2 linked regions of the Schizosaccharomyces pombe genome follow. Each later gene encodes a partner of the first gene's protein in a complex. Each region holds a gene or a part of one and is shown in the gene's direction. Other genes may lie near its edges. The genes, in order: tim21 and tim50.

The links.
Region 2: tim21 (region 1) and tim50 share a complex: the UniProt entries of both Schizosaccharomyces pombe proteins name them as parts of the TIM23 complex.

Annotation. Positions count from the first base shown.
Region 1 is NC_003423.3:4,397,160-4,401,087, forward strand, and holds tim21 (TIM23 translocase complex subunit Tim21), read left to right. Parts: upstream 1-2,139; 5' UTR 2,140-2,160; coding exon 2,161-2,832; 3' UTR 2,833-3,242; downstream 3,243-3,928. Other genes in the region: uap1 (UDP-N-acetylglucosamine diphosphorylase Uap1/Qri1(predicted)), read left to right, coding at 181-1,608; adn2 (transcription factor), read right to left, coding at 3,457-3,928. UniProt on the Schizosaccharomyces pombe protein: Essential component of the TIM23 complex, a complex that mediates the translocation of transit peptide-containing proteins across the mitochondrial inner membrane. Required to keep the TOM and the TIM23 complexes in close contact.
Region 2 is NC_003423.3:1,398,995-1,403,607, reverse strand, and holds tim50 (TIM23 translocase complex subunit Tim50), read left to right. Parts: upstream 1-1,779; 5' UTR 1,780-1,831; coding exon 1,832-3,190; 3' UTR 3,191-3,820; downstream 3,821-4,613. Other genes in the region: protein aim19, read right to left, coding at 18-37, 97-190, 239-253, 295-361; COPII-coated vesicle-associated protein Sec31, read left to right, coding at 4,100-4,613. UniProt on the Schizosaccharomyces pombe protein: Essential component of the TIM23 complex, a complex that mediates the translocation of transit peptide-containing proteins across the mitochondrial inner membrane.

The DNA of each region.
Region 1 (3,928 bases):
GCGTAAAAATTCGCTATTGTGTGGTAAACACGATAGTGCGAATAAAAGTAAGACATTGCAAATTAACTGACAATAGTAGTAGAGCACTTGAAGAAGCGTAAATAGCATTTTTTTAGCGATTCAAGTTTGCCAAACATTCATTTTTTTTTTTTAGACTGTATTTATAACGCTAAATACGAAATGGACGACAAAGAATTGTTTGATCGGTCTATATTTGAAGAAACTAATCAGTTACATTTGTATGATCAATTGAATTATTTAAAAAAGAATGACCTGCAAAAGTTTAGGAAACTTTTAAATCAAGTTCAGCAATTGGACTTACGGTCATTGTGGTTGAAGTATCGAAATGCTAAAGCGACAAGCCAAGAGAACAGAAAATTGTCCCCTTCAGAAGTTGGTCCACTATCTATTGTAGATACGTCTGACTCAAGTTGGTGGAGAACAGGTCTTCGGGAAATTGCTAGAGGTCATGTAGCTGCCTTAGTATTGGCAGGAGGTCAAGGCACTCGACTTGGGTTTGCTGGTCCAAAAGGTTGCTTTAGACTTGGGCTGCCTAATAATCCGAGCATCTTTGAGCTGCAGGCACAAAAAATTAAGAAATCGTTGGCGCTCGCCAGAGCCGCATTTCCCGATCAAGAAGCCTCTATAAGCATTCCATGGTATATAATGGTTTCTGAATGTACGTCAGAGGAGACAATTTCTTTTTTTAAGGAGAATGATTTCTTTGGTATTGATAAGAAAGACGTTTTTTTCTTCCAGCAAGGAGTTTTACCTTGTCTAGATATCTCAGGTAGGGTCCTTTTTGAATCTGATTCTTCATTAGCTTGGGCTCCTAACGGCAATGGAGGTATTTATGAAGCTTTGCTTTCCTCTGGTGCATTGAATGATATGAATAGAAGAGGTATACTCCATATTACGGCTTATAGCGTTGACAATGTTCTTGTTTTGCCGGTTGATCCTGTATTCATAGGAATGGCTACTACTAAAAAACTTGAGGTTGCCACTAAAACTGTTGAAAAAATCGATCCTGCTGAAAAAGTGGGTCTCCTTGTATCTTCCCATAATCATCCTTGTGTTGTAGAGTACTCTGAAATTTCTGACGAAGCATGCAAAGCTACAGAAAATGTTGATGGTCACAAGCATTTGCTGCTTCGTGCGGCTAACATTGCATACCATTATTTCTCTTTTGATTTCTTACAGAAAGCTTCTTTGCACTCAAGTACCCTTCCTATTCACCTTGCATGCAAGAAAATTCCATTTTACGACGTAACGTCTCATCATTATACTACACCTTTAAATCCCAATGGATATAAACTTGAGAGTTTTATTTTCGATTTGTTTCCCAGTGTGTCAGTTGAAAATTTTGGATGTTTCCAGGTACCACGTAGGACTTCATTTAGTCCTCTAAAAAATTCAAGTAAATCTCCCAATGACAACCATGAAACTTGTGTAAACGATATTTTGAGTTTAGGTAAAAGCTGGATTTTAAAGAATGGTGGTATCTTAAGTCCAAGCGACTGCACCTATGTTTCCCCAGAATGTAGTTTACAAGGAGAATCACTCGAGTGGATTAAAGGGAAGCAGGTTAGCAATTGTAAACTTTACTAGTTTCCTCTCCTATATTCAACTATTTTTAAAGGTTTATATAAACAATGTAACAAAGTCAATGTGATAAATTTATTTACTTTCATTTTATATTGTACAATAATCGTCGAAGCACTAATTGCTGTTCTTAATCAGCAAATCAACATTCAGGATTTCAATTACGGTTTTACTTCGATTGTTAATATATTAATTTAATAAATTAATTGACCGTGCGTTTATTGAATTTATTAGTGACTGAAAATTTTCTAAATCATCTTCCACCTAATTCGCTTTCGTTCATTTTAAAATAACCCTGACTTTTAATATATCGTTGTTTAATCATGATGTTGCATTATTACTCCTTTCTTTTCAAGCTAAATACTCTCAAATTTTAGTATGCTTTTTACTAAATTACCTGACTAACGGAATAATGAGGTGTAACAACCATATCACTGCTAAAGCTCAAAAATTTAACGAACTACATTGCATCCTATGTCGAGCTCACTAGACATTGCCTTTATGCCGTTTAGCCTCGTCACTATATACATCTTCTTTGCATCTTTTTGTATCAACTAGATGATTCGTACTATTCAAAGGCAGAGCGCTACAAGGTTTTCTTCAGCTTTGGTTCAGAGGAGATTATACTCTTTGGCTTCTGATTCTCTCAATAAACAACGGAAACCACAAGAAGAAGGGCGCCTGGCACGAATTTTCAAAGATCCGTCTAACAAAGCTTGGAAGGATTTGACGGCTCCTCAAAAAGCATACAGAACTTCTGCTAATATTGGAAATTTTTCGATTGTGATATTTGGAGGCGGCGTTTTCGGATTGATTATATATGCACTTGTCACTAGTATCTGGAAGGGCGAGGCACATTACGGTGATGAAGCTTTTGAACTTTTAAAGGCTAATGAAGAATGTCGATATGTTTTTGGAGATCACATGAAAGCCCTAGGTGAAGCCACGCATCCTCTTCGTCGAACTCATGGTATATTGACTAGTCGTGTGTGGGATCACCATGGTGTAGAACATCTAGTACTACAATTTCACTTAATCGGTAATGAGAGAAAAGGGCACGTATTTGGAAGACTTGTAAATGTTCAAGGTGACTATAAATGGGAATATCTTTTCGTTGATGTTGCAAATTACGGAAAAATCATAATTTTTGATCATACCAATTCTGTACGACAACAACATAAGAATTTTGGTTTATGGGGAAGCTTAAAAAATATTACATGGGGAAATTAGAATTTCCGAATGATAAACGCACGACGGAAAGGTATAGCTGTTAATTTCAACCGAAAAGGAAATCATTGAATTATTTCTCGATTTTAATGGTTTGATTAATGGTTTTTCGCAGAGAATTAATTTTCTAATTTACGAATTAATTTACAGGCGATGTTAATGATTTTTATCAGAATTAGCACACTTAGTTATGCAGTATTTGGATGTATATTGCAAAAAATAAAAAAATCGTCGACACTTTATTACTAATTAAGCGATCGAACCTCATGATTTGTTGTTTAATTAGTTAGTATAAAGAAGCGAATTTGTACGAGGGGCCTTTTCGCAGGGGCTGATTAATCGCCAATCTAATGTACTACCTAAATGTGTTTAGTTATAAAAAATATAAGAATGATTCAAAGCACATGAAATAATTTTGATTATTAGATATAAAGTACAAGATGTAGGCCGGTATTTATAACCGAGTACACTAATCCATATCCAACTAGCAATTAATTATATATTAAATTTTTATAATGACAAAACGCAACGCATTCAAAAAAGATGAAAAAATCTGGTATATAATTTCCAAATAAACAAATTAAAAAAGAAGAAAAACAAGGATAAAATACTTAAGTTTCGACAAAATTAAGCAGCAGTCGAGTCTTCATTATCCGGCAAATTAAACAATCCAAACCATAAATCGTCACCAGTACTAGTATCTTTTAAAAATTTGTCGAAGTCAAAATCATTTAGAAGAGCCGCATCGATGTCTGTTGAATTTCCAACATCCAATAATTGATTGTCTGAAGATTTAGTGGCAACTGTGGTAGACTCCGTAGGTGCAGAAGGAGTCGCGGAAGTATCAGGATTTGATTTTCCTGACTGATTTTGATTATCCAACTCAGAATCGGATTTGTGAACATTTGCTCCTTGCGATGGTTCCAAAGCAGGACCTACACTTGTTGCTTCATTTGTTGATGATTCGGGGTTGGTAGTGTTGACGGTCGGTGCTGGAGTTGGAGCATTTGAATTAGCAGAAGAAGGCTTTTGTTTTGATCGAACGTCCAATGGAGAACTGGCATTTGGAGTGGGTCGCGATGAATGAGTTTGTTGTAAT
Region 2 (4,613 bases), 3.0 Mb from region 1:
TCACCAAAATCACTTACCACCACTAGCAATTGCAAGACTGAAAAAGTAATTAGTAAAATAGAACAGTACAAAAGAAATAAGTATATTTGTAAATACCCTCCTATAGCATTGAATCCACCACACAAAAGACAACCAGGAACGAAAGGACCGCCATAGGGTCGTTTAAATGCTCTAGGTACAGAAGCAATTACTGTTTTATAGAAATTAGCTAAATACTGAATTAATTAATTTCGCATACAAGCACCACCAAAGGCTAAATTTAGTTAGTTCACGTTGTGAAGTTGATTCACATACCATAAGCAGGGATATAGCTTTGATATATCCTTTGGAAGTATGATTTTCTGAGTTCTTTATTTTCCATTATGAGTTCTTACAAGGAAGATTAAGTTTACAAGAGACAAAGGTGAGATGGGAGAGACTGAGTTGCACTTGCGTAATGTCTTAGACGATGAGAAATAAACCTGGGCAGCAGTAATTTGTATCTTTTGCTTTTTATTTTAAATAACATAATATTTTCTATAAATTTATGTCTAAAAATCTATCAACTTAAATTGCATTGATTTGTGGCTTTTTCATTTGTAACAGGAACACTTGCTAGGATTGGAGGAATGTACTTATGGTATATTTCACGTTCACAATAAATATATTAATGATAATAGGTCTTTATCTTTAACGGATCATACTTCTGGTTCAATATTGCAAGGATGGACTTGCATGTTATGAACGTATTAAGTTAGATATCTCGAGTCAACTATCCAGTCAGATTTATACCGAAAATCAATAAATGTGCAGACATTGACATTAAATTAGAAAATCATCCTTTAAACAAAAGCAAACTAGGAAATTTGATTTGAAGGCTACGACTTGTTACGCTAACGACTTTTCATATTTCCGAAGGCCACTGATTCGAAAGCTAAAGTGTAGCTGAAGTAAAATCACAAGGCTGTATAAAAATCTTTAATTACCTTGAATTTACCTGATGAAGCGTAAACTTCACAAAAGATGTCAATTTTTCAAACTGTTTGAAATAGATATATATTTCAAATTTTAATATCTACCATCTCTAGCGGCTATGCCCGAGTGGTCTAAGGGGGCAGATTTAAGAGGCCTCGGCCTTGATCCCTGCTGTTGTAAAACGCGAGAGTTCGAACCTCTCTGGCCGCAATATATTTTTTACAAATTTGTTTGATGACTCGCAATAGCGCGTTAATTTGTAAACAAAACAACATCTTGAATTCTTAATTTTGCGCCAATTCTCTTTTTTTCATTTATAATGATAGAATAATATATGATCTCGAGTTATTGCTGTGATCCTTCGAAAATACAGAATGCAATATTACAAAATATTTGCAAAGTGGATTCGTATAGTAAGTGATGTTTTTTGCAAGAGAAAAGACAACTGGCTTGTTTCGCCCATTGTCTAAATTAAATTATTCCGGAATTAACTCTTTAAAAATTATCTGGTAAATTATTTTATAAATCTAATAAATTTTGGCTGGAAACATGAACCTTCTTACCGTGCATTACCACCCTCGTTAGTATAATAATCCACAAGCATTCTTTTAGCATAGGACAAAAACTCTGTTCCTTTTTCCATTTCTTTTCCCTTTTTTATGATACTTTTCTCGATTTATTTGTCAAACCTATCGAGTCATACTGTCCGTCTTATTATTCTCCTGCTAATAGATGCATAAAAATAAAGGAGGTTTTACGAGATACCTTACAGTTTGATATCTCAGTGCACTGAAAATACATGGTTTCTTAATGGACTGACACTACGCAAACAACAACAAATTGCCGTACAAAGATAAAAAAGACAACAACATTCAAAATGTTGAACAGGTCTCTTCTTTTTCGTAATTTGAGGCTTGCTAGACCTCGTCCTTTTTTGCCCCTTGTTGGCAAACGGTTTGTGACTGAGAAAAGCCAGTCGCAAGAGGAAAAGGACACATCAAAAATCACCGAAAACGCAAAAGAAGAAGTTAAACGGGACACTTCTTCACTTGCGAAAGAGTCATTAAAATTACTTGATTTAAATGGTTTGAATGATGAGTCCTACACTGGAGACCCTGGAAAAGGACCCGAGTATACTAGTTCAACGATGCTAAAGCGAGAAAAGCAGGCTCGTTATGCATTTTGGGGTTTCTTGGGATTAACGGGAGGTGGTTTACTTTACTACGGTCGTCGCTATGGTCCTGATGAGAAAGAACTAGAAAAGCAGTATCCCGCTGCTGGTTATTCCCCTTCAGATTGGTGGAATAGGGTAAAGGCCCGTACAAATAACTTCTTCTCTTACTATCAGGAGCCTGCATTTGAAAAGTTGCTCCCTGATCCTCTTCCTGAACCTTATAATCGACCTTATACCTTGGTCTTAAGTTTGGATGATCTTTTGATTCATAGCGAATGGACTCGTCAACATGGTTGGAGAACTGCAAAGCGTCCTGGTTTAGATTACTTCTTGGGCTATCTCTCCATGTACTACGAAGTAGTCATCTTTACTAGACAGTATTTAGCAACTGCCAAGCCTATCATCGATAAGATTGATCCATACCACGTAAGTATTAGTGCCGTACTTACTCGCGAGTCAAGCAAATATGAGAAGGGTAAGGTTATCAAAGATTTATCTTACTTGAATCGTGACCTGTCTCGAGTGATCATGATCGATACGAATCCCGAGTCATGGTCCAAACAGCCTGATAACGCAATTGCCATGGCTCCATGGACAGGAAATCCTAAGGATAAGGAATTGGTCGGATTAATTCCTCTTTTGGAGTTTATTGCTATCATGGATATTAAAGACGTTCGTCCAGTTCTTAAAAGTTATCAAGGTAAAAACATTCCCCTTGAGTATGCCCGCAGAGAGGAAAAACTACGCACCAAGTTAATTGAAGATTGGAATGAGAAGAAGAAGAAAGGCAGTTCCTTTTTGTTTGGAGGACGGAGTGTATCTGAAGAGCCACCCAAATTAATCATTGATATACAGCGTGAGCGACAAAAGGCTGCTTATGCTGAATTTAAAAAGTATATTGACGAAAATGGACCTAAAATGCTTGAAGAAGAAAAGGCTCGAGAGGCTGAACAAAAAACAAGCATCTTTAATCTTCTCTTCCATCCAGAAGAGGTTCAGCAACAACAGTTAGAACAAATGCAGCAACAACAATTTTCACCCGAAACAAATGCTTCCAAATAGGCTTTCGATGAAACCCGTGTCAGCGTTTCCTTCCTGAAGAACATTCAAATGAAATAAGAAAAAGGAAAAATTAAACAATAATACGTCCCTTGTGCTTGTTGCTGACTGACACAATGCGGTATTCCGCTTTATTTTGTTCTCTAATTTATGAGAAAATGTAACAACTTTCAAGTCGTATCATTCTGCTTATTTTGGCTTCGTTTTGTCTCATGCCCATGTCTTAATACTTCTTTTACAGGACGACAATTTTGCTTTGGTACTTTGGATTCCTTTTCTCCACCCAAGCTCCGTTCTTTCTAATTCATTTCTCCTACGTTTCCAAGGGTATTGGTGCAAATTCGAAATCTTATTCAAAATTTACTTCTTATATTCAATTCAACCTACAAAAAAGTATTCTTTTAATTTTTTCCTTACTGGTTTTTTTTGTGTACGGACCATGCTGGGAATACGCTGGTCTTCCGAGTTTTTGTTCCTTTATACTGCGCACTTAAAGTGTTTACCTTCTTGGGTCATCCTATTTAAAAATTTGACTGACTATGTAAATTTCCACCAAAACAGGGTATCTATGAATTCTTGTATATAAGCATCAATCAAGGGTTTCCTTCATTTTCGTAATAATAATAATATTGTCCATCTATTTTTTTTTTACTTTTAGTGAGAATTTACCACTGAGTTCCAAAGAAAGCTTTATGTACTGCACTATGTGTATTATCCTTTGTTACCTATGCTACCCTTTAGCCTACTACTACCACATGTGGACTATATGTATTAAAAGAAACTACTAAGAACCAACCACTTTAAGAGCCCACACATCATACCAAACAAAAAACGGGTTAGCTCGCCTGTTATACTATAGTTGAAACAGGATAAAAAGGAGTTTTTACAATATTTCACAAGTTGGTGTGAGTTATGAGACTGAAGGATATAAGCAAAACGGCTACGTTGGCGTGGTCGCCCCGCGGGGTGAATGATAACCAAGCTCTGTTAGCGTTAGGAGGATATACCGGGACGGAGGGTTCTAAAAACAGCGACACCTTGCTTGAATTGTGGAATGAAAATCCTGAATCACAAAAACCCGTTGGATCTATCGACGTGAAGACTAGATTTTACGATTTAGCATGGGAGAAATCGTTAGATAAGCCCATGGGTGTAATCGCTGGTAGTTTAGAAGATGGCGGTATTGGATTTTGGGATCCTGCTGCTATTTTGAAATCAGATGAAGCGTCCGCTTCAATTGCTACCTATAAATCCGAAAACGGCTCGATTCTCGGCCCTCTTGATTTCAATAGATTACAACCCAATCTTTTAGCCTCTGGTGATAATAAAGGTGATGTTTGGGTTTGGGATATCAAGCATCCACAACAGCCTTTCGCTCTCCCAAAACAAAATCGCTCCTCCGAAGTTCATGTGGTTTCTTGGAATA